3 linked regions of the Danio rerio genome follow. The protein of the gene in region 1 interacts with the protein of each later gene in a pairwise test. Links are inferred from orthologs where the notes say so. Each region holds a gene or a part of one and is shown on either strand. Other genes may lie near its edges.

Region 1 (10,963 bases):
AAGAAAACATTATTTGACTTACAAGTGGTTCTAGTTGGATTTGCACTGTATACTTTTAAAAGCATTGTAAACATCTTTTTTTGTGTTTGTGTTATGTATTTATTTACTATACTGTCAAAATAATTTTGCATAAATCCATAGATTTTGAACAAAATTCTAGGCAGAAATAGCATAAACATTCTGTATGCCGCTAGTAATAGGTACCTTTATCAATCCAAGAGTTTTTGTAATACAACACATCTCATTTTAAACCACATAGTTTAAAGTAGCATCTATATTAGCTAGGCCTGTCACAATAAACAATATATTGACTTATAACTCAACACATGGACATGACCTCAATCATTTTTGGTGATGCAATATATATCGCCCATACATAAAAGTCAATTCTAGCAACATTTATCTGATTGTGAGTGAACATCTTTATCTCTATTGGAGGTGTCAGAGTCAGTGTAGTCAAAAAAACACTATAGTATTTCCTACAGATTACAATATATTTTCATGTGGGTGCCTGACAACTGAAAATAGGTCTTGTAGCAGATTTCGCCACCTCTGTTACTTTTTACCTTGCACTTTTTGTTAACAGTTATTATTTATTTATTTATTTAAGATATGCCTTTTCAATGCCCAATCATTAATTTGTTAAAATGATTATAATGAAATTAAATATTCTTAGGAATAAAATATGATGTGTTCTTTGGAAGAGTGTACCTGCATTGTGTTGATATTATATTGTCATTCTGGCATTATATAATGAGAGCATAAAATGGCCTTAAAATGACAATAATATTGTTTAGCACATTTTGGTGCAATATATCGCACAACAAAAAAAAATAGATATTGTGACAGGCCTAATATTAGTAGCATAAACAATGTGTTGGAGAAATGTGATAAAAGGGAATGCAATGTTTTTACAGATGAATTGCCCTTTAGGTGCCCTTAAATTGCTACATTAAAGTCTGCGTAAACTCGAAATTTACAATGTACACAATGACATGTAATATTAAACAAAAAGCATAATATATAACAACTTTACTACTAGGGATGCTCTGATCAAGATTTTTGCAGCCGATACAGTGTACCAATTCCTTGTCAATGTGATCGGAAGATACCAAGTACCGATTGTGATGCTTCAAGCTTTATAATGTATAAAGTGCATTTTCCCTCAAAGTATGATAAGTAAGTGAAGATATCACTTTACCTAAGAGAATAAATTAAAGATGTTGCATGAAATTCCTTAAACAAATCTCTTAATAACTATTTAGTGTGGACATGTCACGGCCAGAAGCAGCTTTACAGAAAATAATAGATTAAACAGATTCAAGAAAATGGTATCAAAAATGAGTGACAAAGCAATTTGGAAACATTGCAAATGATGGAAGTTTGGAGCACATATTTTATACATAAAAAGTTAAAACGCACATCTATCATCTCATTACTTCTTTACTAATAGAAAATATTTCTATACTGTTTATTACAATAAGTTATATTATTAAATATTCAAGTTAAAAATCATTTTTATGTTTTTTTTTATATTTCTCTTATATTTCCAGCAAGGTTTTAATGAACTTGCAATACTGTTGAAAGCACAGAACAATCAGTTCTGATGTGTAAACTAATCATAAACAAACAATTGTGATCGGTTCATAAGATTGGCCAGATTAGCAAGTACGGATCGAGTCATGAAATGTGATTATCGGCCGATCACGATGTCTGGCCGATCAATCGGAGCATCACTATTTACTACTTGTGTGAAACAGGAAGTGCCATATCAATCTTGCAACCACTCCAAAGTTTTTTGGAAACAAAAACGATACTAAAAAGCAAAATCCAACTAATTTCCACCAACAAGTATATATTATTTTTCACTGAATGGCAAAAGTTAGTTCTACTCTAATTCTGTAATTTACAAAATGACTGACTGAACATGGACTGGATCTTCTGTCAACAACAGATATGGAATAGCAGGCCCTATTAAGAGATTATTCATTCATTCATTTTCCTTTGGCTTAGTCTCTTTATTCATTAGGGGTCGCCACAGAGGAATGAGCCGCCAACTTTAGGAGTTTCATTTAGCCTACAAATTACAGTCCAGTCGACATAGCTTTTCGCAACAAATATCTTATTTTAGAGCTCACAGTTTAAAGTAGAAACACCCACAATCATGTCATATCCTGCAGGAAACTGAATAATCCTTTGGGAATGCTTGATGTCATACAAAATCAAAGCGTACAGTGGGACAATCAGACAGGTGATCACAGCATATGCGGTGCCTTAACAGCGGGGAAAACCCGTTAAGCGCATTAACAGAAGATGAGTCGCCTCAGATCCACAGTAACACACATACGAGTCAGTGATACATTTAGGTGTTCATCGAAAGTTACACCCGTTCTTGTGTATAGAACAGGTGTATGTAATTATTATAGCTTACACCTGTTACTGTTACCTGTTGCTCCAACCGCTTTCATACAATTAAAATTACAGCACATTTTAAACCAGAAGCACGTAAACACAGACAAACGGGAAGACAATGTTATAAAAAGTAAATATTTCAAGGTCCCAAATACTTACCTCGCACACAAAGAAGAGACATTGCTGAGATTTTAGTCCACACTGTACATTTATGACTTTATCACCTCTTCTGGCACTTTATTTCCTCCCCGTTCGAAAGGATATTTTAAGTTGCGAACAAATATCGTAGTTTGTTGAATTCATCATCATAATAGACTAGAGTTAAATAGCGACTGTGTTCGCAACGCGCCAGGAGAACTGTGTTCTGCGTCCCCATGGCGTTAGTGACATAAGCAGGAGCCAATCAACTTCATCAAAAGGAGAGAGTGGGCGGGACTACAAGATGATGCGACGGATAACGTTTTTTATCCGCACAGGTGTGTAATGCCCTCTTTAACCTGCATATTTGACAACATCTGCATCATCATATTCATTTAAAACAAACAAATCCTGCTATTTTTGTAGATATGTATGCCTATAATTATTTGCAACATATTAAATATTAATATTTAACGTGTGTTTTAGGCTATTTTTGAAGGAAAAAAATGGCTGACTGGTAATGTTTAATTTCTGATTTAAATGCTGCACCTTTATTATACTAAACTTAACAGTCTCAGTCTGTGTGTGCAGCCTGTTGAACTGACGAAAGGATTTATGTCTGATGTTTCTGTAGTGCCATTGCGCCATCTCGCGTTTAACACATGCTACTTCGTAATAAACATTTTAAAAATATTTACATTCACATTTGTTTCCAAGTAGCCGTGAAACTAAGCACTCTGTTAACTTGATTTGAATAAATGCTTTTACCCGAGCAACACCTAAATACCTGTGCAAGGATCTGGTTAGAAGGACGAAACAAGCAAAAACAATAAAGAAATAAATGAATCAATAAATACGCAAAAATATGAATAAATGAGTAAATAAATCCATAATTTCATGCATGAATAAAACAATAAATAAATACGCAAATATATAAATAAACAAGTAAATAAATCTATAAATTCCTGCATAAATAAAAAAAGAAATATGCAAAGAAATGAATAAATGATATCGAAAATCCACAACTTCCTACTTAAATAAATATATAACACGAATGATGGGGGAATAAGTAAATGCTAAACTGAAAGGTTGTTTTTTTTCCCCATTGAAACCATTATTCATGTAGTTGCTTGTTTACTTTTCCTCAGGTCAACATGCTAATGAGAGGCAGTCTGTCTTTCTTTTTTTTCTTCTTCTTTTTCTTCTTCTTATTATTGTTATTATTATTATTATTACTACTACTTGTTGTTGTTGGTGGTGGTGGTGGTGGTATGCGAAAGGTGAAAAGATACAAATCACAGTACATTATAAAGAAAGTTAAAATAATTTGAAAAAAAAAGAAAACCAAAAAACAGAAGAGACATTACACATTAAAGAAAAAGATTATATAATTTACAAATGTCAGTTGTTTTTAAAGCCTTTCTTTGTAAAAGAGTTAGAAATAGTTTCAAAGTAATACTGCATTTCAGAAAGAAATGCTATTTAAAAAAGGTTTTTGGTTTATAAATTTACATTTATGCATATAAAATTTTGTTAATAAGATAAGAAGAATAGGGAAATAGGTTTTCTTTTTATGTAAAGGCTTTGTCTTGTAATTAACAAAACCAAACAAAACCTTTTCACAAAAAGACAAATCTTTCCAAAGCAAATAAGAATAACTGCATTGCAAAAATAGGTGAACTATTAGGACTCAGGCTGTCTGTCAATTATCAGAAAGTGGTCTTTATGCCATCATCAGTTGATTTTTAGAAAAACTTTCCATTTGATTTTATTCACTGGCTTCTGGTGATTGACAGACAGCCTCTTATTAGCATGTTGACCCAAGAAAAGTAAACATGCAACTACGTGAATAATGGTTTAAAATGAGGGGAAAAAAATAAACTTTTAGTTTAGCATTTTCTTATTCCCCAACATTCCTGAAATGTATTTATTTATTTGCTGCCAGCACTAATAACGATTTATGTATTTATTTATTCAGGAATTGATGTATTTATTTACTCATTTATTTATATATTTGCGTATTTAAATAACAACAACAACAACAACAACAACAACAATAATAATAATGATTATTATTATTATTATTATTATTATTATTATTATTATTATTATTATTATTATTATTATAGGGGAAAAGTAAATATCTGACTTTCTATTATATCATTCTCTGACCTGCTTCTAACATGCTGGTTTGCTGCTTGTTGTTGGTGCTCAGTTAATAATAATAACAAAATAATGATAATATTTATTTATGCAGGAACTTGTGGGTTTTATATGCATTTATTTATTGATTTATTAATTTGCATATTTATTTATTTATTGTTTTATTTTTGCAGGAATTTATGCATTTATTTACTCATTTATTTATATTTTTTCTTATTTATCTATTTATTGCTTTTGCAGGTTTCGTCCTCCACAATTCAGGATAAAATGTTTTTATAAAAATATTATTTGGATTCAAATTCTTTATATGTATTTTCAGTTATATTTAAAGAATTGTATTTATATGGCTTATAATATATTTCACAGATTTAAATAATAATAATAATAATAATAATAATAATAATAATAATAATAATAATAATAATAATATATATTATTGTATATATTATATTATATTCTTTGCTCCTGAACTGCTTCTAACATTTTCTGCTTGTTGTTAGTGCTCAGTTGATAATGATAAATAAATAATGATGAATTTGTTTGTTTTTGCGACTTAAAGTTTAAAATATATATATATATATATACATATATACACATATATACACATATATACACACACACACACACACACACACACACACACATATATATATATATATATATATATATATATATATATATATATATATATATATATATATATATATATATATATATATATATATATATATATAGCACTAGGTCAGTTATGCATCACGAGAATGGGTTACATTTTAAAACAAAATAATTTTTTGTGTTGTTTCACATGTTTCACTGTATTTTAAGCGCAAATAATGCCTTGCTAAGATTTAAACACTAATAAAAAAATTTAAAATAGTAATTTATTCCGGACTGTAATCACTGTCCTTAAAAGGGTTATTATTTACTTGTTTAAATTGGTCTACATCATCAAGTATTACTAAACATTATATTTATATTACCAGTCCGTCGATCTATAAACCCTATTTTTGTCCTGTACGTTTCTCCACCAGCGGAGTAAAAGGAACAAATAGCACGTGTACATGGGCGTGGCTTGAAAAGTCGTTGCGTTTCACGGAACCAATAGGAGTCTCTTTCGCCGTAATATATTACTGTTATTCAAATATATTCAAATATAGCCTAAATAGGCAATTGTTATTGGTTCTTGATAGGGAAAGCGACCAATCGCTTAAATGACAGCCCTTCAGCTGTTCGAACGTTCCGCCCCCTAGTTATTTTTCAGCAAATCCCGGAAGTATTGTTTTTAAAGGGACAGAATAATTTCATGGGCGACGGCTTTGGACCAAGAGCTAAGCAAAAAATAGCAAAGGCCCGTTGGCAGAGGTGCTTATAGGACGTGGAAAGGAGAAGAAAGCCAATCAAAATAGCTTTGTCAGCATTTGGAAAGCGGGATCTTGTATCCTCATCGGCCAGATAAACCTTCGTCACACTGGGATTTCAACGCAGACAGTTTGACGTCGATTACGCTGAAGATCTCCAGATCCTGTCTAAAATAGGATCAAACTCTTCCTCCAGAGATGATGGCAATGTTAGTTTGCTGACTGCTGCAGCCGTTGTCATTGTCATCGTTGTATGTTTGCTGTGGGTGAGTTCTCTTTGTGCTGCCATTCTCCTTTAGATCACTCTCATTTCACCATTTATTTATAGATCAGTCTCATTTCACCTTGTGCGTAGGATCTGAGATGAATCCGTAATATTTGAATCACCTCAGCAACCTCACTAATCAATCCCGTGTATATATGCTGCTTTATTAATCTGAACTCTAATATAAACCTCAGATTAAAGGATGAGATGATCCCTAGTCTGATCAAAAGGATCCCTGGGTCTTTTCCATCTATTGTACTTGAAATGCTCTCACGTGTGTTTGATAATGGCAGATTAATCACAGTCTGCACACACAATGCATACAGGCTGCTGTATGTTCATGCGCAGGGGGGCGTTTCTGCTTTGTCTGATTCATGCTATTTCATCCACTGAAGGCAACTTTCATCAGTGCATAAGCATGCATTTCTCACTTCAGTGCTTGCTATGTCTTTTACTTTGGGTTCTTTTGTTCCTTTTTGATTTATTACATTCTTTGTGCTTGAGATGTGCATGATTACGTTACATCCCTGGCCATGGGCCGTTATGAATCATTCCTGCATGGCTTGGTGGTGTAGTTTATTTTAAAATGTTGCCTTGTGCTTCATCTAAACATTGCAGGCAAATCCTGCTGTCCTTGTAGCCTAATTAGCATCAGTAATGCCAGCATTTTATGGAGAGACAAGCAGGCTATGGAGTTTTTACAGTGGGTGGGTGGGTTTGCACACACAGGTTGCAGAATATGTAAGAGGCATCCATCCTGCTCATTACTGATGCCAGACAGGACGTCAATGGAAAGCACAATGGAGCTCTGCAGAGCCATAACCATTGTCCACAAAAAAAAAAAAAAAGAGCAGATCAGCAGTGACCCATAGTGAGATCTTTCAGGCTCAAATGTCCCAAAAGAGCTGCAGGTAGAATGTGCCCTTTCAGTTTGAATTCTGAATATTAAGAGGTCTTTAATGCCCTTGATGTGCGCGACCTCCTTCTGTGTGGCCTTCAGCAGAAGTATGTATTACATCACTGGGTTAGAGGAGGAAATGTTGCAGCATATCCGAAGATGAGCATGTCAAGCTGGTGCAGGAAGCAAATGCATGTTAGATGGTTATTGGGTGTGAGGAGGCTTAGTATGCAGCGTTAAGGCCTAAAGTAACTCCCTTTCTGCAAGCGATATGTGTAAATGTTGAATGAGGGGTTTCAGTTCAACATTGCGAAATGCGACGGGCTGCTTTTATCTTGATGAGAATGAGGGAGGTAACAGTTTATATCAGCACTCGCTGTAAAAAATGCTGGGTTCCACACAATACCTTCATGTTGCCCCGACACAAATCGATTAGGTTAACTTAATTATTTGTACAAATTTAAGTGGAACGAACATAAAACAATTACGCTGCCCCAAAAAAACTTTAAGAATTGTGTTAAATCAACTCATTTTAAATTAGTGGTTTGAAAGCAGCAAGCGTAATGTTTTAAATGCTGTTGGGCTAGTGTTTCTTGAGTTTTTATTTGTATTTGGGGGGCTTTTTGAATCGGATCTTTGTTCTCCCCTTTAGATCACTCTCGTTTCACCATTTATTGATAGATCTGTCTCATTTCACCATGTTTAAGATCAGAGATGAATCTGTCATTTTTAAATCACCTCAGCAACCTCACCAATCAATCACGTGTATTTCGGCTACCTTATTAATCTGAACTCTATAAACCTCAGATTAAAGGACAACACAAATCGATTAGGTTATCTTAATTATTTGTACAATTTTAAGTGCATTGAACATATAACAATTAAGTTGTCCCTAAAAACCTTTAAGAATTGTGTTGATTCGGCTCATTTTAAATAAGCAGTTTGAAAAAGCCGCAAACATCGTTTTTTTTAGTGCTGTTGGGCTAGGGTTTCTTGAGATTTTATTTGTATTTTTGGGGCTGTTTTGAATCAGATCTTTGTTCCTGTTAAAAAGTTAAAATATATTTGATATAGGCAAGCATTGCTTTTATTAATCAGAATAATCACAGTTGAATTTCTTTAGCAAGTCAACTGTGTTTAGAAGTGGCTAAATGCTTTAAATGAGTCTATAATGTGAACATCACACACTTTGAGGATGTAATAGTCCTGATAAGATTGCCTTTTTAAAGTTGTTGACAAAGTGGTTTTGTTTCCAGGGTTACCATTAAAGACAACACACACATGCAACTATTCAACCAATCAGATCACAAATTTGAAACCACTGAAACGTTTGTGGGTATGACGACTGAGATAAAGATTAGAAACTACCTAGCAACCACATAACAACATTGTTTTTATTGGTAACTTAAAATATGTACTTGCTTCCAAGGCCATTTATAGCAAAGTTCATATTTAGCTGCACCATATTTGGTGTTTCGTAACATCTGTTTTTTTTTTTTTTTTTTTTTTTTTTTTTTTTTTTTAATAATGAGGTGGGATGTTAGCCCAATGCTCAACCCAGGACTAAGACATACACACATACACTACAGACAATTTAGCTTACCCAATTCACCTACAGCACATGTCTGTGGACTGTGAGGGAAACCGGAGCACCCGGAGGAAACCCGCATGAACATGGGGAGAACGTGAACATAGGAATGCTAACTGACCTAGCCGGGGATCGAACCAGCGACCTTCTTGCTGTGAGGCGACGGCTCTACCCACTGCGCCACCGTGTTGCTTATTAACTAAAAATTAAAAACAAAACAAGTAGTTGAAATAAAATGCAAACATTAGATAACTTCTACCACTTAAACCAAGTGTTGACGTGTTGCCTTGGCAAGAAGCTGAAATCATAACATTGACATTTAAGCTTAAACAGAGAAAGCTATATATATAAATTTAAAAATGATTAATGAAATAAAAATCTAGAACTTAAAAAAAAAAAAAGTTATTTAAATGTTATAAAGGTATGCAAATCATACTAATTGAACAACATCAGGCCCGCATTGGCTAATCGGGAGGACCAGGAGTATTCCCGGTGGGCCGGTCCATTTTTTTGGCCACTAGGGCCAGTGTCTCCTGTTGCCTGCACTCTGAACAGTCATACTTTTTTCATTTATTTATTTTTTTGACCATAGCCTCAATCTTTTTAATCATTATTTTACCGCAGCTCACCTCTTTTTATTTATTTTCTCGCAGCCCCATGAGCAGAATGCAGCCTGCAAGCTAATGATGTCCAATAAAGAAATCTATGATGTCCGTTTCTTGTCAGATGTTGACTTTTAATCTTCACTCAGAGATACATAAACAAATTAAAATAAACAGATGCAGTTCTTAAAGAGCCTGTACACAATTTTAACATGCTACATATCCTCAATGCTAAATGCACAGAAAATCCATCTGAATAACACAAATATTCTAAGTTCTCAAATGCAAACAGTTCAAAAAAAATATTCAAAACTGAAATGCATTATATAACATTAGTTATTAAATGCAAACAAATAGGCTCCTACAACATATATTCAGATATTGCAGAAAAGGGCATAGTGATGTTTTAAAGAATAGTGTTGGAGATTTACCTACCCTTTAATTTTCTCATATTTATGACAAATATTTGAAGTTATAAAGCAGCTGTTTCCTTAAAAAAGACATGATAGTATCAATAGAAAATTCAATACATTTGGTTTTAATCTTTATTTTATACATGTAGTTTAATTCATATTTGTATTTATTTTATATTTTTTCATTACAAGGATATTAATGAGCACTAAGTCTTACAGAAAATAGATTCTGATACTGTTAAACATTACATTGTGTTAAATGTTCAAATAAATGTTTACTGTGAAGTACAGAATTGAAAATGACATTTTTTTTAAATATAGTCAGCCGTGAACTGAAGTGGGCCGATCTAAGGCTTGAAACTCCAGGGCTGAAAAGGAGTCCTACTCAGATTCTGAACAGCATTGCACTAAAACCCCCCAGAACACCTTTAGTAAACCTGACAATTTGTATAACCTTAGTCAGTAGTACTTTATTCTCTCTATTTGTATCTCTGTGTGCACATTTGGTTTGCTTTCACCTCTGCAGAAATGCTGTGCACCTTGACGTCTTTAAATAACCATGAAGATTCCATGGATTGTTATCCATTCTACTAAAACCCACTCCACCGGTCGCCTGCCTGGACCTTTCTCTAAGATCAATTAGAGGTTTAGATAAGGATTTCAATAATAGAAACCTGTCCCAGATCATTATCAGAGGTAATAGTGTGTGCTTGTGCAGGCATGTGTTTGTACATGAGTGAGTGTGCACACATGTGATTGAAGCAAACCAGCTCCTAACCTGCCTAAGCTGTTTATCATTTATTTAAATACAGCTTGCCTCTTAAACCAGAAGAGTTAACATGGTAGCCAATGGATGAAGCTCTGGTGTATTACTAAATGAAATGTATATAATACATAGCTGTACATTTGTTTTGTTTTTTTATTAACAAACTAGATTTAACTAAACTGAAGTATTAAAGGGATAGTTCACCCAAAAACAAAAAATGTACTCTCAATTTACTCGCCCTCAAGTGTTTTTAAAACCTTAATGAGTTTCTTTCTTCTGTTAAACACAAAAGAAGATATTTGGACAAATGTTAGAAACCGGTAACCATTGACTTCCCTTGTAGGAAAACAAATACCATGG
Region 2 (11,176 bases), on another chromosome or scaffold:
AACATTTTGAGGCTGATTTAAACTTTCGTCTGGCTCCTTATTGCACACCTCCGCTGACGCGCACCTCACGAAATGGACGAGGCTTTAATACTTGACGTGTTTGTCGTTATGATATTCTTTAAAACATCAGGGGCCAGTCAAAAGGATCCCACCGTAAAGTCAGACCGAAACTACGTCATATCATTAATATTGTTAAAGATTTTAAAAAGAATGATTTTTTATTATTTTTATAATTTATTATGATTACAAAGTTGGGTGACGGGGTGGCGCAGTGGGTAGCGCTCTCGACTCAAGGCAAAAAGGTCGCTGTTCGAGCCTCGGCTGGGTCAGTTGGCATTTCTGTGTGGAGTTTGCATGTTCTCCGAGTGTTTGAGTGGGTTTGCTCAAGATGCTCTGGTTTTCCCCACAGTCTAAACACGTGCATTTTAGGTGAATTAGGTAAGCTAAATTGTCTGCTGTTGTAAATGAGAATGGGTTGCAGCTGGAAGGGCATCCGCTGTGTAAAATATGCTGGATAGATTGGCGGTTCATTCCGCTGTGGCGACCCCTGATTAATAAAGGAACTAAGCCAAAAAAAATATTAATGAATAATTATAAAGTTTTATAACTATTCAAGATTTTTTAAATCAAACTTTGATGCATCACTCACTTTTGTTCACATCTTGGACAGTTCTACCTATTAAAGTTAAATATCAATGACAACAGAACATGGGTTACATTACAATTATAGTTTTTTATTCTTTCAAGAATAATAGAAAAAAATAATTAAAACTTTTAATTATTTTGCCCCCTCAACATTTGACACATTGTCTGGCTAGTTTCTGTCCTCTACTTATGAGCTGAAAAGGCAATAATGGTCCAACAATCCTGTCCATCATCATCATCATTAAAGCCTAGAAATTGGGCATCAGTATACTGTAAGCCGATAGGTTCATATTTTCTTTTCCAGTTATCAAAGACATCATTTGTTACTTAATTTTTGTTACATTGTTTTAACTTTAAAAAATATATATCAGTGTAAAACCTATAAATGGTGGAAAAACATTTTCTGTAATATTAAAACCATCTGGGTCTCCACTTTTGCCATGGCTTCTTTTTTGTTGTAACAAACTTATTCCCCAGGTTTTTCCAAACTTTTTATCAAAACATGTCCTTTGGCTTTTGCAATTTCTAGCCAAGAATTATTGGTCATCTAGGTATTTCTATGGTGCTCACGCATGGTCGGATCGTTAAGATGTATGTACAGTCGTACTGTTACAGACAAAATCTCTTCATTGTTTCATATTCAACTCAAATCAAACGCGGCGCCGCGCGAACTGTTCACCCGAAATCATGTCGTGTGCATCCAAAGTGAATCTCTGCAAACACGGCGATGACGTCACATTCGCCGCGCGCGCTGAGCTATTACATGCTGGTCTTATTTATAGTTGTAATACAGCAAATTACAATATGACTAGTGAAATAAAGAACTACACCGCTACGAAACCAAGCAACAACAAAAAATTATTTAAATGAGCATTAGGAGTAGCGTTACATGTACATCGGAAAAATAAGACCTGTGCAAACATATTTAAGACATAGAACAGCAAATTTAAAACTTTTTAAGGCCTACAATTAAGATGTTTATATTTTAGACCTTTTAAGACCCCCCCGGGAACCCTGTGTAAGCCAGATGGCACAGCAGAGGGCAGGTTTCATCCAATTATTTTATGCGCATTTTGGATATGCACATACAAAAGGTTGATGGAAACGCTGTAATGCGCACATTTTTTGAAAATGTGTGTGAATGGACAAACCATCAGGCTAAGCACATTGTAAAACATGTTGTTTTGGTCATTCAAAACCGTCTCAACCATTTCAGTATTATGTTATTAATGACCTCCAGAATTGTCAAGAGTGTCTGCACTCCGTGTCTCGCTCCTTCAAACACCAGCGCGCGTTCACTGCGGGTCAGGATTGCCTTCTGAGGCGCAAGTCATTTATTAAATTAAGATATATTCCCGCAGCTGCTCCTACCGATGCAAAGTTTTTACTTTTGATATTTGTCGCCAGTTAATCAGAAAGTGGCGATTTTGTTCTCTTCGACTTGTTGGACAGAAACGCTGCTTTATTTGCAGTCTTTTATGCGATATTCTAGTTTTGGGCATACATTTAATTAGCATATTTAGATGATAACAGCTATCCACTCTGCATCAGCACAGCTGTCCCCTTTCTTCCCCATGTACCTCTAGGTGAACAGCTCCTCCGGGTGTGGCCATGGGCATTCATCCTCTGCTATTTCTTCCTCATTTCTTCTGTCTTAAATCTCCATATGACAATCGATAACTTTATGACTGTTTGATGACGGTCAGCTCACGTAAATCTGCAGTAGCCTGAACTTGTTTTTCGGTTCAAATAATGTACCAGGCTTTTCATTGGTCCGTTAAGATGAGCTTTTTTTATTGGCTACCGAAATGCTAGTAAGTGCGTGGTTGAAATATTAATTTATTTACAGTACTCTGTAACGAATTGTGATTTTGAAAGTAACGAAGTAGATTACTCAGCTTAATTTGTACTCAAGTACAAGTAAAATTACAGGCTTAAAATTTTACTCATGAAAGTACAATTACCCCAAAAATGTACTTAATTACAGTAACGTGAGTAGTTGTAATTCGTTACTCCCACCACTGCACAACTGATATTAACAGTTGGAGTTTTGCTGTAACCTCACTTATCAGTCATTATGCAGTTCTTTGAGTGTTGCACCCAGACATACTTCCTCTTTTCTGCAACCCTTCTCTGCATACCAGAACTGAACAGTTAGGTGTATCTTTAATATATTTCACAACTTCTACAAGCATCCAGCTCCTTGTGACATGTCTAGACTTCTTATTAGACAGCAGTCTGGAACAAGCAAATTATCAGGTCATGTCACATTTTTTAAAGGTGGTAACGTTAAGGCTAACTGAGGCTTTTGACTATATTTTAGTTACCAAGGTAATTTTGACATTATACAAGACACAGCCTATTTCATTACCTCAGAAAAGTTCATTTTCGCCTACCAACCTACGTCACGAAAGACGTCACATGGGTTCCCGGTTGCAAAAGCAAACATGTCGTGTTGTGCGGTAGGATGCCAAATTCGAAAAATAAAAAAACTTAGCTTTTACCATACACCACACTGCTTTAATGCCAACCGCAGATGTTTTTGGCTTAAAGGGAGTTGAATGAAGTGAGGACCTAATTAAAAATGCTGGACTCTGCAGTTCCCATTTCATATCAGGTAAGTTCACGCTATGCTGAATCATACACATTACTCGTTTTTGATTGCGGAAATGATTTCAGGAAAAACAGTTACATATGGTGAATTAAACTGCTGACACTGAATGCTAAGAATGAAATGTAAGAATGTAAGTTCACATACCCTGCCTTACAGATACTGTTCGCCGTCAGAATGCAGTTGTTTTACTTTTTGATGATTACCCAGGCCTAGCACAGTTTCGTCTTCTTTCCTTGTCGTTGGCTAGGCAGAACTTCGGTTTTTAGCTCTACATAGTATTGAATCTGGTCATCGTGGAGCATTATTTCTTGCATATGACCACACAGAACAGAATTGTTGGCATCCAAAGACTTGTAGACCTTTAACTTCTCTTTTGTAAAATCTATTTGAGTTTCAATGAGATTGTATATTTGGGGCTGGATGCTTGGCCATTTCGTCTTATCCAATATCCATTGGGAGGGTGCTATCGCAAATAGAGCTGTCAGAAGAACGCTGCTCAATTTAACGTTAATTTTGCTTAATAACTGCGCTTATTACTGGGTGACAAGCTGTTTTAATACTGTAATTTCTATTATATATATATATATATATATATATATATCTAAGACATATATATTATATGTATCTCTAATACAACAACATTATATATTATATATATATCTCTAATACAACAACAAACTCTGTTTGATTTAAATGTTAACGCTGTGGATTTTTTATTTTCTGCAACCTCCTGCGCGTGCATCCTGAATGTTTACAAACATGGTAATTCATCTATAGCAGTGGTTCCCAAACTTTTTTCACCAAGTACCACCTCATAAATGTTTTTCCTCTCCAAGTACCAACATAATGACCAGTATTAAAATATAGTTGTGTTGTGGGCCTAATTAAGCAGCTACAGCTGTGCACAGTTAAAAAACGAGGCAGATTATTTCCTATTATTATGAATATGTATAATTGTCAGCCAATTTAAACATTATAAATAGTGTGAACATTAACTGTGCTTGCAGGTTAAAAAAAAAAAAAAAAAAAAAAGTTTTACTTAAATCTAAAGTATTAACATAGTAGCCTATTCATCAAAACATGGAAATTGTTGCTTGGACCTCATAAATATAGGCTATATGTCATTGTCACATTCATACACTTATGAAATATATGTTGCAAGTACATATGACAGGGTTCATACAGGCGCTTAATGAAAATCAAGGACTTTTAAGCACTTTTTCCAGCACCTATTTTTATTTTCAAGACTGACACGCAACATATTGAAACATTGGTCCAGTAATTTTCCTATATAATATAATAGTAATTATATATTTACCTATATTGGTGATAAAACCTGCTTGGAAGTTCTGTTGATGTTTTCTCACCATTTGCTCATATACAGCTTCTGGAAACCTGGGTGAGGAAAACTGGCTTTACAGACACAAACTGTTTAAACAAAAAGATTCCCAAAAGTTCTGTCTCTCTCTCTCTTTCTCTATTTGCAGACGGTGCTGAGATTTGCATGCTGACCTTCATACGGAGAGCTGCCCTTTACACAGCATGCAGCAAAAAGAGCAACACAAAATGCCACAGAATCCGTAAATTTTGAAGAGCAGTATCTGTGAAGTGAGATTAGAGGCTTAGTAAATGCTGTCTGTTCAAAATGACTAACCTGAAAGGATGTTTTGAAAGATTGTGGAACATATCTGCTGAAGTCTTGTTTGCCAGTTATGTACATTTTAATATGTAATTACATTTAGTTGCACTAAAAATGCCAACTGTTCATAATAAATATTTTACAATGTATTTACATAATAAGAGTCTGGTAGGGAGCCCATATTCAAAAGTTAATTCTTTGCATCCATCTGGTGGACATTTGTTGTAACACCACTTTTTCTTAAGAGGGAAACGTCAGTACAGTGGCGCAAACTACGTTGTAGGCGTGGCTAGCTCATTCAGTTCTCCCATTGGTCTAAATCCAGGAAGCACTTCGTCGGTGTCAGTTTCCGCTGTTATTTGAATCAATAAACACACTCGAGTTTTCTTGTTTATAAAACGATAAATTGAAGATTTAATTGCTACAATTTAGCTCGTCTGTGGTTTAAGGTATGATTTAGAATAATACTGCTCAAAACACTTAACGTAAACGAAATGTATTAGCCGCGTTTGTAGACCTTATTTTTCATGTAGCGTTTTCAGTGTTTGTATGTTGTATCTACCGTGTGCTGTCACGTTTTAGCCCCTTTTATTAATGTTTCGCTAACTTTGTGGCCCCTAAAATTATATTAACTTCTAAGAATGTTATACTAGGGTTTTTATCTTGGTGAACATGGTAGTATTGTGAGTTATAGATCGAGTTATAAGCCAAAGATTGTGTACACGTTTTACAACTTAGCCCATGTTTTCACTCAGAAAATGCGTGTAAATCTCGCAAAATAGCAAGTTATATTAAACATGAAACGTCGACGTAGATCTATAGAGTTATACAGTAAACAAAGATTGTGTACGTATGTTTTACAACGTTGCCCTGTTTTATGTTTTCATTCAGAAAATGCACGTAAACCTCACAAAATAGCAAGTGTTACATTCAATTACAGATGAATCGTCAAAGTAGATATATTCACATAGTTTTTCTTATTGTAAAATCTTAAACAACATACAAAACTCCTACCAAAAAAGGTATTTGATGGTATAAGCACGCAATACCTTGCTCGGAAGTCACAAACATTACATAAATAGTATGCTACCTAACTAAAGTATTCTTGCTAGCAAATTTCAGTTCACTTCAAATGCATTTTTTATTTCTGTTTTACAAAAATCTCCATTTAAAAATAAAAATCTGCCAATGACATGTCATTTTATTAAGTTCAATTCAAGTGACCTTTATTTGAATAGCACTTTTACAATGTGGATTGTGTCAAAACAGCTTCACATAAAAGATCATAGCAAATTGAAATGGTGTATTTCAGTTTTCAAAGTTTAAGTTCAGTTCAGTTTAGCTCAGATCAGTGTTTTAATAATCACTACTTAGTCCAAACACTGAAGAGCAATCCATCGATGCGCAGGTCTACAGATCCCAAACCATGCAAGCTAGTGGCGTCAGCGGCGAGGAAAAAAAACTGCACCAATTGGCGAAAGTGGAAAAAAAAAAAAAAAAAAAAAAACATTAATTCGGTTCAATTCAAGTTTATCTGTGTATCGCTTTTCACAATAATTATTGTTTCAGTTATAATATATTACTACATTACAGTTTAAATTAGGACAGTTATGATATAGGTTGGACAGTATATAAACATTGTTAAATTGGATTTATACAGTATATAGTGTCCTTTTAAAATGGTAAAGTGCAATTTCAATAAAGTGCAAACTCAGCATCTATGTGTTTTCTCTTACAGGGCTTCTGATCGGGATGGAGCAGGTGAGCCCTTTTGTCTTTCCAGCGTGTGGAGGTGTTTCTTATTGTTCTTTGGGATAGTAATCTGATCTGGGTCTGTTCCCTCCATCTGCTGTGGGTGGACAGACCCTGATCAAGTCAGACAAAAAGTAGAAGATACAAGTAGATGCTTAAAATAGTGCAATAGCTCATCATTCATTTGTGATTTTCACTGACGAGCATGGATAGACAAGCTTTGCAATCCAGGGACAAAACATATGTGTTTTTGTGGACCTACAGCCAGTTTCAGGTAGCACAAAAGTGGAGATTCTGATAGTTTTACAGTTGTTTCTCCATGCATTAGTTTATTATTGTTGTTAATGCACGCTGCATATGTCATGCTTTTGCAGGAAGAACAGAGAGAATGGGACGCTGTAAACAGGTTGCTGCAGCATCACGGGTTTAAACCTGTCAGCTTTGCAGATCCAAAGGAAAACAAGAACCTTGCAGGTTATCTCATTTTAATAATTTGTTGCTGCAACTATGAAAAAAATGTAATTATTGGATTATTAAAGTTTGAAGTTAAATTATGGGATTAAATTTATTAACACATTTCTAATATGATTTTAGTCCTAATTTTTGCGTTTATTTTTTATATTTATTTTATTTTTTTAACTGTTCGCAAATATTATATCTTTCAAGTATACAATAAGAATTATAGTAGTTTAGATATTAGTCATTGACAATAACTGAAAAAAAGAACTAATGGTGATACTTGTTTTGTGTTTGTAGAGTTGGTTTTGTTGGAGCGAAAGTCTGCCTCTGATGTCCGCTTGATGTTGAAGACGATGCTATCGGATTCTGAAAGGAGACAAGGTTTAATTCAAGAGCTCATTCAGTCCAACAGCCAGTTAAAGTGAGTCTAGCTTTCATTATTAGTGTAACATGCCTTTAGTGTTGCTTAGAGGCCAAATATGTTTTAAAAGTTAAATAAATTCGAAATAATTTTATAATTATTTGTAATAAATATAGTTTTTTTAAGAAAAAAAAATTCAAATATCAGTATATGTGTGTGTGTGTGTATTTACTACTTGTATACAAATATCTTATTTTTGTCACCAAAATAGAATGTTTTACAGAATGATTTATAACATTTTAGATTATGACAAATCAATATTTCCTTTAGTTCTTGTTACTATATTACTGTAATACAAAAGTGAAAGTCACATTATTTTGTTATAATATTACTGTTTTTATTGTATTGATAAATATAATTGTCAATAAATCTGACAATTATATTTTCGTTATTGTCTAAATGAAGGTGTGTGTGTGTGTGTGTGTGTGTGTGTGTGTGTGTGTGTGTGTGTGTGTGTGTGTGTGTGTGTTTGTGTACACACAAACAATAAATTAAAAAATAGTTGATGCATAATTACATAATGTAATTTTTGTAAATGTAAAAGTTGACTTAATGATTAATGAAAAACAATAAAGTTTTTATCCATTAGGGTTAAATATTTTAACATTTGAAATCTAAAAAGTTAAATTATTTTGTACACTATGATTGTATGTGTATTACTATGTTTTATTTAGCAAAGACATATATTTGGAAACATGATGCATTGTTACTATTATGAAAAAAATGCAAAAACAAATGCTAAAAATTGTTTATAATTTTATTTTAGTGTTAATATAAAAATGGATAATGTTCTAAAAACATTTATTATTAAATTGTAATAATGACATTTTTGGATGAAAGTTGGCTTTAATTGTCACCTTGAAATGTTTATTTTAGCTCAAAAATTTCAGATTACTTATTAAAAAAAAAACTTAATGGTGTGAGAACCATCATAATTCAAATGTTTATTGTCTTACCTTATTTTATTATATATTTTTTATTAAACAATGTATGGACATATATAATTCTACTTATAGTACTATAATTTAATACATATAGTTACATTATAGTGAGACATTGTGAAATATAGAACAAACATAGTGGAAGCCAGGAGGATAAAGCAGTAAAGAAAAAATAAATAAAAAGTACAATATTAAAGAAATAATACTAAAATATAACAAAAAACATAAGATATCTATCCTTCCATTCATCCATATGCGTGTGTGTATATAGATAAATAAGTGTAAATAATTCATACCTTTAAAAGCGGTTTATTATTGGAGAGTTTGCATTTATGGATGTAATATGTAGCAAGTAAAAGTAAAAGATTGATCAAATAGATGGCTTTCTCATTATTATTGTCTGTATCAATAAAACCAAATAACACATTCTCCCAAATTTAATGTCTTTCTCTGCATTGTGACCTGTAGGCTGAGTGTTACTTATGCATGTTTTATGTTTGTTGGAATTTCATCATAAATAATCAAATGGCTCTTGAATATTTGAGTTGTTCAGCACTTGTCATTCCTCTAGGGACACTCCTGGACACGCTGCTCCTGTCAAACACATGCTCAATAATGCAAGTGTCAGTAGTGCCGACCACCTGCTGTAAGGTGATATAATGCAGGATGAGTGGAGGGATATGAGATCATCTGACAGCACAGACCAGCTCCTGCTCATTCCACAACACAGCAGAAAGACAAGTGCAAAAAACAGTACTCTAAAATGTATGTTTGTTTATTTCCAGAGAGGAAGTGCAGCAGCATCAGACGCGAGCCGCCCGTCAGTCTCAGAGGGCCGCTGAACTGGAGAACATCCTGGACGGGGTCAAGGTCAAAGTTCAAGACCTGGAGGACTCGTATATTAGTAAAGCGGCCCAACAGCACCAACAGTTCCAGCAGCTGCAGCAGGAGAAGAGAGATGCTGAGGTATATCTGCATTCAATCTGATGTGTCGAGCTTGTAGACATGGCTTGTGTCACTAAAAATGAGGATAATGAGGCTTTTTTATATATTTTATTTGTTATTATTTTGATCATTTTTGGTCTCATTCTTAAAACAAAAAGCTCAAAGTTAAATGGCATGACTTGTAAATAGTCTTGTAAATAAACATCCACTGTAATGATTGGCTCATGTCATTGCATAGAGAAAAGGAAAATAATCACCTCCTCACTATTCCACGTAAGAGTTTTAAAAATAGGATGTACCACATCAAAAAAATCTCCCAAAATCATATCTTGACTTTTTTTTTTACAATAGTAATAATTAAACAATATTTCCTAAGTGGGTTTTTGTACTGCTCTTGGATGATTTTGTTCTGTCATGGATAAAATCTGTAGTGGAGATCTTCGCGGGACTAAGTTTTGAATCCCGCTCCTGTCAGGTTTTAGCTCGAACCCGACCGCTCCCGCTTATATTCAGCATTTGTTGTCCCGCTGCCCGACCCACCGCGTTTTCTACCCGCCACGCATGTCTGTACAAACACACACACACACACACACATAAGCACCAAGCAAGTGACACACACAGACAGCATTACGCCCTCTCTCATTCACACACACACACACACACACAGACAGCACAAAGCTCTCTCTCATTCGCACACACATAGACAGCAACAATCAAGCTAAACACAGCATCACGCTGTCTCATTCACACATATACATATACGTGCTGGCTTGCTCGGGAGTCGGAAGCGATATTATTAGACCGCTCGCTCCCGTCCAAAGTTACACCTGTTACCGACCGCTCCCTCGCTTTATTTGGAAATTTATTCCCGCGCCACAAGAAATCTGGTCGGGTCCCGCGGCTGTATGCAGACCTCAAATCTATAGCACTAAAACCACAAGTAGGTGGCAGCAGGTTTCAATTTTAATGACTGAATCAATTCATTTAAAACTGCTGATTCATTTGGAAATCAATCAAACTGTTTTCATGAATGGGTGATTGGCTCATTGACTGATATAATTAGTTAAAATATGGATTATTTTAGGAGTTAAACACAGGGTTCCCAGTCTTACGCTTCTTGAAAGTATTTGAATTCAGACATATGGATTCAAGCCTGGAAAGTACCAACACAGGTCTTTAAAGTGCTTGATTTACATTTGAGATTTGTGGTTATTTCCACAATTGTCATGCTGCTGTCAAAAACAGAATAAAAAACTTAATGAAAATCTTGTACAAAAGCTGTGATAAATAATACACATTTAATAAATAATTCACAAACTGAATTTGAATATTTCCAGTTTTGAATTCAACAACTTTTATTAAAGTAAAATGTTTTTGAAAATGACCCCTTAAAAAATCATCACGCTGACATTTTTAATGTGAGTATTACAGTTTTTCTGTCGCTTTGGTGCTTTTGGTGCAAAAATTATTTACATTTGCACAACAGTAAATGTATTTCTCAAATGAGTACAATTTGTACAAACTGCAAAACCTAGTTGATAACCTGCAAAAGCACGTCACTTGCTTAACATGCATAGTTCATTCCTCAAAAGCAAGTATTCATGTCAATCAAAGTGTCAGAGTCATCAAGATAAAAAGTCCCGACAACATTGTTTATGAACAAGATAGTCAATTGGCTTTGTCATGTTTTCATCGTTGAAAGTTTACTCCACTGCAAAAAAAGTCAGATTTGGGTGACACATCCTAAAAATGCTCAAGAC
Region 3 (10,947 bases), on another chromosome or scaffold:
AGTGTTAATTTAAATTACTCACATTAGGTTGCATTTTTCATTGCTTTTATTGGTGTCAGGTCACATCTGGTAGATTAGTATAGTGTACTGAGCGAGAATGATAACAGATTTTATTCAAACAAATTGATGTAAATTTCACACTCGAGATAAAATCGATTTATCATCCAGCCCTACAGGAACCTGTACAACAAAGCCAGATTCGCTAGCTAGCCAGTTATAACTTATGTTTCAGTTTAGTTTGCACATATTTTGGATTTTACGTGAAAATAAAGGTAGCTCAGCTGCTCCATAATACCACAGTAACAAAGAGTGATTAAAATCGATCTGCTTTCATGTTAACTTAAAACTCAAGATTGGTGTCAACTAAACGAAAACTGGCAACCCACTTATATCCAGTTTCATGGTACAGGTCCCTGGAATAAACTTTAAAACTCCATGATTTTCCAAATATTCCATGAACTGTCTATATTTGTTTGTGTCCCTTACCTTTGTAAATGTAAATTTGTGCACACTTTGAGCGACCCCTCTCTCAGCACTCTTCATGTTGCGGGAGTCTTTAGGTGCTTTGAGAAGCAGATTGTCCTCAGACTGCACATTAACACAACCCTGGAGAGCACAAACAAAACAATAACCAATTCATTGTTAAGCCAGATCCTTCCGTTACCTAGAAAAATAGTTTCACATAAGTGACACATTTCTTTACCTGCTCTTCTCCCCTGTCCTTCTCTGCCTCGGTTAGAGGACGGATCCGTAGAAAAACCTTAAGTTTATCTGATCCATCATCAGTGCTGCCTCTTCTGCTGATATCGCTTTTGATCTGCACAAGCTGTTTGTCAAAAGATAAAAGATCCATTAATATTAGAGCACTCACACCGAATCCAAACAAAGCCTGAGGTGAAGGAATAGCCATTAAACGAGCTGTTTGTGTTGAACAGAACACATCACTTACTGCTGTCCTCAATGAAAAGAATTATTGAGGGAGGGATCTCCTTCTGGCAGTGTAACAATTTGAGACAAGAGTTGGCTAAACAAACAGTATTCATAACCCCGGATATGTATGGCAAGCAGATTTAGCATTAAAACATCATTTATTAAACTATTTATTGCATGGACTTTTGAAAATCTTGATTCCGATTGGCTAAAAGGAGTGCAATAACAAACATTAGTTTGAGTTTGGATGAGTCCGAAATTACCTACAACTCTAGTATGTGCTGTATTTGAATTTACTACACAATTAATTTGACCACAACCATTCAATTTTGCTTATTTATAAAATGGTCTGTTGAAAATCTTGATTCTGATTGGCTGAAAGGAGTGCAATAACAAACGTTAGTTTGTGTTTGGCTGCATTTAAAGTCACCTACTAATCGAGTATGAACTACATTTAAATTTACTACACGACTTTTAGAAAGTATGTTCTAATTCAGGGGTCACCAATCTTGTTCCTAGAGGACTGTGCCCTGCAGGGTTTATGTCCAACTTGCCTCAACACACCTGCCTGGATGTTTCAAGTATACCTAGTAAGACCATGATTAGCTTGTTCAGGTGTGTTTGATTAGGGTTGGAGCTAAAATCTGCAGGAACAAGTTTGGTGATCCCTGTTCTATATAGTATGAATAAGAATGGTATTAATGGAATTCGGTCATTCACCAATTTGTCACGATCACATGACCTACCCTTCCCTTGCATTGCTTCACTTTTATTCTTGAATTCTTTAACATGGCATAAAAGGATAGCATAGCATCCATCAAAAGTACACTTCAGAATCTCACCGGTAGCAGTAGGTCATCTGGATAATTCTCACATATTGTTTTTCTTATACTATAAATTCTAACATACTACTTGGCTCTCAGTGTTTTTAACATACTATATAGAAGGATTGCACGATGTATCGTTTCAGCATCGATATCGCAATGTGATCATTCGCAATGGTCACATAATGGGATTTGCAATGCTGTATTATAATTTATCATTTGCATATGTTTTTGAGCCCTTTGTAGCAATAATAATTACATAATTTATTGAATTAATACATTTTTATTATTAATATATTGTACCTGTATATCGTTAGATGCAGAAAACGATAAAACATTGTTTCAATTGTAACAATTTTTTTATCGTTTTTAGCTATACTTTTGATTTGTTTATTAGATTTTTGGCAGATACCCTCTTCTACATAACAATTCCAATCAATCTAAAATGCTAAATTCTTTCTAAATAGAGCTAGGAAAGTCACCTGGCAAAATTTTGTAAATCACAATATATATAACAGAATAAGCGACGCAGTGGCGCAGTAGGTAGTGCTGTCGCCTTACAGCAAGAAAGTCGCTGGTTCGAGCCTCGGCTGGGTCAGTTTGCGTTTCTGTGTGGAGTTTGCATGTTCTCCCTGCTTTCGCGTGGGTTTCCTCCGGGTGCTCCGGTTTCCCCCACAGTCTAAAGACATGCAGTGAAGGTGAATTGGGTAGGCTAAATAGTCCATAGTGTATGAGTGTGAATGCGTGTGTGTGGATGCTTTTCAGAGATGGGTTGTGGCTGGAAGGGCATCCCCTGCGTAAAAAAAGTGCTGGATAAGTTGGCGGTTTATTCCGCTGTGGCGACCCCGAATTAATAAAGGGATTCAGCCGAAAATAAAATAAATAAATAAAGCAGAATAACAAAATATCACAATGCTAGATTTTTCCAATATCATGCAGTCCTACAATATAGCATGGAAGTATGCGATTTTGGATGCAGCCTTTGTTTATTGCCACATTAGCAACTCATCGCTATCCTTAAACATTAGTTATAACTAGGCATGGGCCGGTAGAAGATTATGACGGTATGATAACCTTGGATAAAAGTATAACAGTTTCACAATAGAGTGCTCACTGCTCTAAAATATATTATTTTTAAATGTCTGAGTAAAAAAACTAAAACTTTTTCCCATTGAACACAATATGTTTTATTTTGAGAAACATTTCTAATATTTTGGAGCAGTAAACATGTCAGGCTAAATAAGTCAAATGTATCATTGACTTCTGTTGTTTTCATTAGTAAAAATAAATAAATAAAAAATGATTTCCTTAGAATTTAAAACGGCATCTTTGTATATTTTTTGTGCTGGAGATACTGTTGTTCTAAAAAAAAAAAAAAAAAAAACATACACATACCTTAGGAACCGTATTACAGAAAAATTTGGTGGTTTTGACTATTACAAACCATGGTATACCTTGAAAACGGTTATCGTCCTATGCCTAGTTATAACCATAGTAACTCAGTGACAGTTGCCAAAGCCTTTGTGTAATATCAAGGACACCAGTATGTGCTTCACCAGGGAGCCAGTGGGGATCAACAAACATTTAAATATGCTCAAATTTTGAGAAAAGGTAGCTAACATGTTACTATGAGCTCAATTACATGCAAAAAGATGATCACTTTCTTTGACCCTGCCCATGACTGCTTCAAAACGGAGACATTTAACGTGTCATAAATGATGAAAATTCTGTCAAATATTGTGCTGCCAAGAACATTACTAGTTTTAACTTGCCTTGGCAAACTTTGGCAAATGAACCTTGGAAATAGTGAGATAACCAATGGCATTCCATGCAGTAAAGGATTTTAAATGCACTTTGTGCTGGGTGTTATTTTTTTGCCTCAATGTAATGCATTTAAAGTCCTTTAACACAAGACAAGCGATTGATCCCTTACGTGTAACATTACACTTGGACAAAAAAATAGCTGCCTTGAGAGCCTAAGTCATCAACTCATTTAATGATCTTATCATAAAGGTACCATAAAGGTATCTACCAAAACTAAACTTACACTGGTTTGAAGAAACTGTGCTACTACTATTATACTAGATCTCCCAAAATTATATTTTATTAAACCTCTTTTAGGCAGCACTTTGTTTTCTATCAAATAAATAGAAAGATATATTGATTTTAATAAATTGGTATGAAATCATGAATCCCCGAATGCAAACCACATATAAATAATAAATAATTTCACAAGACAATAGTACACAGTGGTTTATGAAATTATTAAAATATTTTGAATAGGCTTTATTTTACGAGTACCTGCTCCTATAATAACTAATGATGCTAGTCTCCTATACATTTTCGTTTCATTCTAGTACTTACTTCAAGAGTAAAATAAATAATTTTATTATTATTGGCATTATTAGGCCCACACAGAGTATGCATGTGCAGAAATCTGCAGATCTATTTATTTACTTGTGTGGATATGTAAATATATATGTTCTCAGTTTTTATATTTTATAATTTCTCTCTTTTAGTGTATACACGAGATTTACTTTACCAAACATGTGGTTCTAATTAAATTTGCACTGTAAACGTTATTTAGAAGTTAATTTTTTTCATGCATTTAGTTACTATACTCTCAAAATCATTCAGAATAAAATAGCATATATTGTGCAAAGTTTTACACTAAATTAGCAAAAATGCTTGCAGATTCTGTCTGGTCATAATATGGTAAGTACTTGTTTGTAACAAATTAAAAAGTATATATTATTTAGCAAATATTCGATAAACACTAGTGATACACTAAGTGATACTCTTTTTTTTTTACTATAATACGGATGTTTAAGTCAAACAAACTCAATCATTACTGTATAGCTTACTAACATGTCAAACATTTCTTATACATAAATCCTTCAATTGGCAACTATAATAGACTGCAAGGCAAAATATAAATCTAATCACTAAACACGATTCAGTAACATTAACTGAAATCTTGTTTCCTGTAACAAAAGTTGTATCTTGTCACATCTGGAGTAAGTGCTAATACATAATACAACCAATGCCAGCAAACAAAAAAATGAAATATTAATAGCATTAAAAACGCATATTATTTAGTAACGTTAAGTTAAAAAAATTATTGTTCAAATGGCTTGCCACGTGATGTGTCATGTCATGTGATGAATTAAATCAGTCGACACCTATGCCCGACCCGTGGTTTCAAATGTGAAGACTATTTGACATAACACACGTCTTCTAATGGCTATCATACCTCTTTAGTAGGCGTTAGGGAATCTGCAGCAGGGGTAATGACTGAGATCTCTGGCAGAGGAGACACAAACCGTTGAGACCTCATAAGACCAACAACATCAGCCGCTGTGGACTCAAACACAGCCCCACACTCTTCCTCATCAGACAGAATCCCGCATGGAGACGCCAGAGCCATTATAACAGACCTAGAAATTAATATAGACAGTTCTACATTTAAAAGAAAATTACAATTATTTATAGTCTGGACCTCTGTATATGAAAATTAACGTTACTCATATCGTAAATCTATCGGTTAACGTTAACGTTAAGTGAGCCAGAAATCTGATCATCAGTTCAAACTCGCTATTTTGTTGTTTGTTAATGCAACATTATTTATAGAATTAAAATCATATAATATGCAAGAAACAGCACTTAAAGTTAGACGGAAAAGACTGATCTTTATATAGTTGTTTGCCATGGACGCTAGCAGTTAGCATGCAGTAACTGTTACACATTTGAAAAGATTGATATATCCAATATTCGTACCTTGATTTACGATGTGCTTCCGGAGGGAAAAAAATCCAAATGTGAGTTAAAAGTTGAGCAAATGACTCCGACAGCTAAACTAAATACGTGTCTAAATTATTAGAACATCTAACTTGTTCAGAGTACTGTAACTAAAGCAAACTCATCTGTCCACCTGCATAGCTCACTAACGGAAATCCAACAACAACAAATTCGAACTCAGCCGCCCGTGAGCTCCACCAATCAACGCGCACCACTATGGTTCTGCTACTTTGGATTGGTCAACGTGCTTGTCGCTTCCACGCCCTAAAGGCGTTGACAGTATGCGAATGCGTTTTTCAGTAAATTTATATTCCCAAATTATGTTTAAACCCTTTTCATATGGTTTATTACGTTACTCCTGATGCAAACAAACGGGGCAATTACAATCTACATTTTAAACTTTTTCATATCATTGAGTAATACCACTCGTTTCACATTTATGGCAAAAATCCATGAGCATTTCTCGAAATTTTTTGTATTATAGACATATGCAAAATGTATCGCATACGGACCCTGAGCATGCGTCAAATGCGCCGCCACACCGGAGCAGTGTTGCCAACTATTTTCAATGAAAAGTAGCTAAAGCCTGCCTGAAAAGTAGCTAAATGTTGCCAGATGACTTCAAGCACTAATTTGCATATCATTTATGTCATCACATAGTTTCTGACAAGCTTGAGCCCGTCATGCCTATACTCTCTCTGGTGCTGTGTATTATATTATGTTAAAAGATTAGATCCAGATGCACAATAAATAAGTTCTATTAACATATAACTTTGCGTGATGAGGTCATTGCGAAATCGCAACTCAAAACTACATCTTTATGTAGTATAAAATAATTAATGTTTTGCTCAAATTGACTGGCCATCTCAGCAAAAACATTATTTGAAATATGTTCATATAGATTTGTATGAAAAAAAAAAGTTGACTGTTTGTAAAAGTATTACAAACCCAGGTTTTACACTTTTTGGATAAGAATTTAGTATTTTTAATAACACTGATAATGAACAGTTACGTTCTTTTAAACAATCACAGCTTGTGTACTTACTCTTTTTAACTTGTGAAATTAACAAATTTGTGAAAGTGACAACAATTATAGCACTACTCAAATGTATTGCTTCCTAAATTACCAACAATTATAAATGTTAACAAATATCAATAAATGAACAGTTACGAAAAATAATCTGAGCAATTTACTCTACTAAGTGAAGCCTGCAGCCACTGCTTTTTTGAGTCACAAAGTAGCCAAATGAATGTTAAAAATTGCTAAATTTGTTAATAGGTGCTTTTTGAAAAAAAAAAATGCTATTATGAAAAGTTGCTAAATCTAAACAAAATTGCTAAGTTGGCAACACTGAAGAAGAGCACCCAGAGGAAACCCTCGCAAACATGGGGAGAACATGCAAACTCCACACAGAAATACCAACTGACCCAGCCGAGGCTTGAACCAGCAACTTTTTTTGCTATAAGGCGAACGTACCCACTGCTCCACCACGTTGCCCAATAAGCAAACAATGAAAAAGAAATATAACAATGCTTCATTTCAAAGGAGCGCTACCCTGTACTAAAACGGCAGCTTTATTGACGCCTTCCTTCAAATACACAACAACGGGGAAGGCAACATCTAATGTAAATATCTATGGTTTCGTATAAACAGCACAAATTAGTTTCTCTTTAAGCCATTGTAAATTGTAAAATAAATGTTTTCCTACAAATCAAAGAAAAATAAGAAAACACTCATCTTGTATGTCTATATTTAAAAAAATAAAACTTTTTAAGATAAAAAGTTCATTATTATTATTTTATATAATAAAGGTATTTAATAAAAAAAAAAAATTGTCCATGGAATGGCAAATCCTTTTATTGTTTAAAAAAAGTCAATACATTAAGAGTAGTCTACTCTTCAAATATTTTCTTCTGGTTTGGCTGACATATAATGAAAATTTCTGTGTTTTTTTCTGTGTTATCATCTTGAACCTGGGACCCTAAGCTGTGGAATTTTTTGGCATGTCTCTGTTATTTAACACAAGTGACTCAGCACATTAGCTTGTATGTAAGAGTTGATTAGACTATAAACAGAACCAGTATAAGACAGGCCTATATTTTGAGCAACAACACATAAATTCAAAAAGCAGATATACAATATGTCAGTTAGCAGTTTGCTAAAAAGAAATGCCTGTTATGACGTGCTGCACAAGGGCATTTAATGCTCCAAAGTTTAAGTGTTGCATACCTGTTTATTTTAAATTGTTGTTTTCGAGCAATAATTACAAATGTGACATTACAATTTGCTAAAATTTCATCTAAATGTTGACTGTTTTTGCTCTAAAACAAAGCAGAATAGCATCTCCAAGAACCCTAGCTGTGGTTCCCAACCATTTTTGAGATGCTATAATGTAATAATCTGATTTAATGATTTATGCTAAGCTAAGCTAAGCTAAAATATTTCAGATTAATGGATTCAAAAACTGTTTAACTCTAGTGGTTTCAAACTCCAGAAAAACTGTGTACTTTTACATGGTAATGGAAATTGACCTACTGTTATTAATGTGAACTACAGTATTGTGTACAAATAATGAAATACCTAATTTCAAATGGCTTTTACATTTATGCGTTTAATCTAAGACATTTCGTCATTGCTTTTCTCTGACTTTTCTTTAGAAGGTAAAAAAAAAGAAACAACAAGAAAAAAACTGGGTGCTTAATTACTAAATCTGTGTGTGCAATTTATTCAGCAGTTATTTAGTTATGTAGGCTAAAAATAAATAATGTAAACCTGGAATTCAGCGGTTCATTCCACTGTGGCGACCTCTGATGAATAAAGGGACAAAACAGAAGGAAAATAAATGAATGAATGAACTTGAAATTCACTTAATTGATAAGATTTTGTTTATTGTTTGGCATACAAGTGAATGTTAACAGAAGATACAGACAAGTCAAAACTTATTACTATCTTTACATTTTTGTTTAAAATAAGTTTTATTAAGTTGAATCAGTTCTAATTATTCTACTGTATATAACATGGACAAAGAATCTATTGGACAAAGAGACAAATGTGTGGGACATGTGCATGACTCGAGTCCCAAGTCTGATTGGTGTCTTGGGGGCTCCATAAAAGGAGAGAGTATTAGAAGTCAAACAGGCTCCTGAGAAGCAAAGAAACGCCACTGTGTCAGAGAGAACACAATCACTTTGAAAGAAAAGGAAAAGTATAAAGAAATGAGAGTTTTGGAGTTATTGCTGTGGATGTAGTCTTTAAAGTTATACTGAAGCGAGACACAACAGGTGAGTTTGCTGCACTAAACATCTAATCTCAAAAATGTTCATTGTTAGGCTTTGAAACTACAATAAGATGCACTAACTGTAACTGTAATAATATTTAGATGTTATATTTTATTTCTCTTTCCCAGATCGTTTGTCTTGGGTTGGATCAGTCTGGTGAGTGAGATATTCTGTCCTCGGCTAAACTTAGTCTCGACAATAGTCACTGTCATGGTGGTGTATAATTACAACACAGTGAGCAGATGGTGTGAGAAGTTACTATGTTTAGATTCATATAGAAAACACAGTGCTGCAATAATGTGAATATCTAAAAAAAAAAGTAAAAATCCTTACAAAAAGTAGCCATACATTTTGTTTTGATAGTAACACTTTTGGTGCATTGGCTTATATTTGTATAACCACAGTTTTACTACAATTACCATGGTTAAAATAGGATTAGATTTGCAAAACTATCGTAGCCTGACCACTTATGTTAACCACAAATTAACTAGGTTTTGCAAATCGCATATGGTTCACTTAACCATAATTTTTTACCATGGTATTTGTAGTAAAACTGTGGTTACTAAAATACCTTTGAAGTTTTTTTCTTTTTTAAAATATTGCCCAAATGAAGTTTAACAGAGCAAGGAAATTTTCACAGCATGTCTGATAATATTTTTTCTTCTGGAGAAAGTCTTATTTGTTTTATTTCCACTAGAATAAAAGCAGTTTTGAATTTTTTTAAGTTTTAATTTTTTTAATTATTAGCCCCTTTAAGCTATTTTTTTTTTCGATTTTCTACAGAACAAAACATCGTTATACAATAACTTGCCTAATTACCTTAACCTGCTTAGTTAACCTAATTACGCCTTGTCACTTTAGGCTATATAGAAGTGTTTGAAAAATATCTAGTTAAATATTATTTACTGTCATCATGGCAAAGATAAAATAAATAATTTATTAGAGAAATTAGAATTATGAAAAAAATTCTATCAGTAAAACAGAAATTGGGGAAAAATTAACAGGTGGAGGGGGGGGGGGGGGGGGTGTAATAACTCTGAAAATACAAATTAAACAGGTTATTTTTAATATTAAACAGGACCAGCTTTCTTAAACAGACCACCAACGAATAAAACCAAAACAAAGCTGGAGTGTTTAAAGCTGAGAAGCAATTGATTTGTTTTTATTGATTTATGGGCTGCATAAAATGGACTCATTTAATGGCTCCCAGTTGTTAAATGAACAATTCAAGCATCTAAATAATAATACCAATGGCAATTCTCATTAATATTTTAGTAGTTCATTAAAGCATTAAGCTCATTTAATAGCATCATAATAAAAGTATGGTTAATTTTAGTCGTTACAAGAATGTGCAGAAGAGTCTATTTACAAGCTGTAATGAAGTGTGAACTAAAATGATCCTTTAATAAATATTATGAGCGGCATGGTGGTGCAGTGGGTTGTGCTGTCGCCCTACAAAAAGAAGGTTGCTGGTTCTAGCCTCGGCTGGGTCAGTTGGAATTTCTGTGTGGAGTTTGCATGTTCTTCCCCTGTTTGAGTTCGGTTTCCTCCGGATGCACCGGTTTCCCCCACAAGTCAAAAGACATGTGGTACAGGTGAATAGGGTAGGTTAAATTGTCCATGTGTATGTGTGTGAATGAGACTGTATAGGTGTTTCCCAGTGATGGGTTGCAGCTGGAATGGCATCCGCTCCGTAAAACATATGCTGGGTAAGTTGGTGGTTCATTCCACAGTGGATTTATAATAAAAGGACTAAACCAAAAAGAAAATGAGTAAATGAATAATGAATATAATTTCATATTGTACATTTAATACTTTTTGATCCCTCTATACTTCTGGTGTTTATTGTCTTAGATCCATGAATGTCTTCTTTCTCTGTTGCCATGGGCAACTACAACGCTGCTCTTACTGCTGGTAAGTTATCTTATGTCTTCACATTACAGTCATTCATGCTAAATACTTTTAAAATGGGATTATTTCTTGAATGGAATTATGTTTTGCATTATATTTTGCACATGTTGCTTTTAAAGTCATATACACTGCATAAAATAAAAAGTTGATTCAGCCTAAAATTGTAAGGCACAGCTTTTTTTGTGAGTTGACTTTTAACCCAAGT

What was found.
Region 2: the proteins of atosb (region 1) and cep70 interact in binary tests that used the Homo sapiens proteins (3 or more experiments, as listed by UniProt). The link is inferred for Danio rerio from reciprocal best matches to the Homo sapiens genes ATOSB and CEP70.
Region 3: the proteins of atosb (region 1) and kif20a interact in binary tests that used the Homo sapiens proteins (3 or more experiments, as listed by UniProt). The two-hybrid records come from large-scale screens. The link is inferred for Danio rerio from reciprocal best matches to the Homo sapiens genes ATOSB and KIF20A.

What each region holds. Positions count from the first base shown.
Region 1 is NC_133180.1:19,786,572-19,797,534, reverse strand, and holds the start of atosb (atos homolog protein B), read left to right. Parts: upstream 1-5,998; 5' UTR 5,999-6,337; intron 6,338-10,963. Other genes in the region: uncharacterized protein unc13ba, read right to left, coding at 2,572-2,593. UniProt on the Homo sapiens protein: Transcription regulator that may syncronize transcriptional and translational programs.
Region 2 is NC_133197.1:12,312,229-12,323,404, reverse strand, and holds the start of cep70 (centrosomal protein of 70 kDa), read left to right. Parts: upstream 1-5,242; 5' UTR 5,243-5,347; intron 5,348-6,636; 5' UTR 6,637-6,650; coding exon of another isoform or gene 6,651-6,659; 5' UTR 6,660-6,855; coding exon 6,856-6,924; intron 6,925-7,024; coding exon 7,025-7,124; intron 7,125-7,406; coding exon 7,407-7,530; intron 7,531-9,042; exon of another isoform or gene 9,043-9,256; coding exon 9,257-9,437; intron 9,438-11,176.
Region 3 is NC_133196.1:38,629,453-38,640,399, forward strand, and holds the start of kif20a (kinesin-like protein KIF20A), read right to left. Parts: upstream 5,700-10,947; 5' UTR 5,532-5,699; intron 5,192-5,531; 5' UTR 5,182-5,191; coding exon of another isoform or gene 5,008-5,181; intron 827-5,007; coding exon of another isoform or gene 704-826; intron 607-703; coding exon of another isoform or gene 487-606; 5' UTR 329-486; intron 1-328. Other genes in the region: uncharacterized protein si:dkey-71d15.2, read left to right, coding at 10,694-10,745. UniProt on the Homo sapiens protein: Mitotic kinesin required for chromosome passenger complex (CPC)-mediated cytokinesis. Following phosphorylation by PLK1, involved in recruitment of PLK1 to the central spindle. Interacts with guanosine triphosphate (GTP)-bound forms of RAB6A and RAB6B.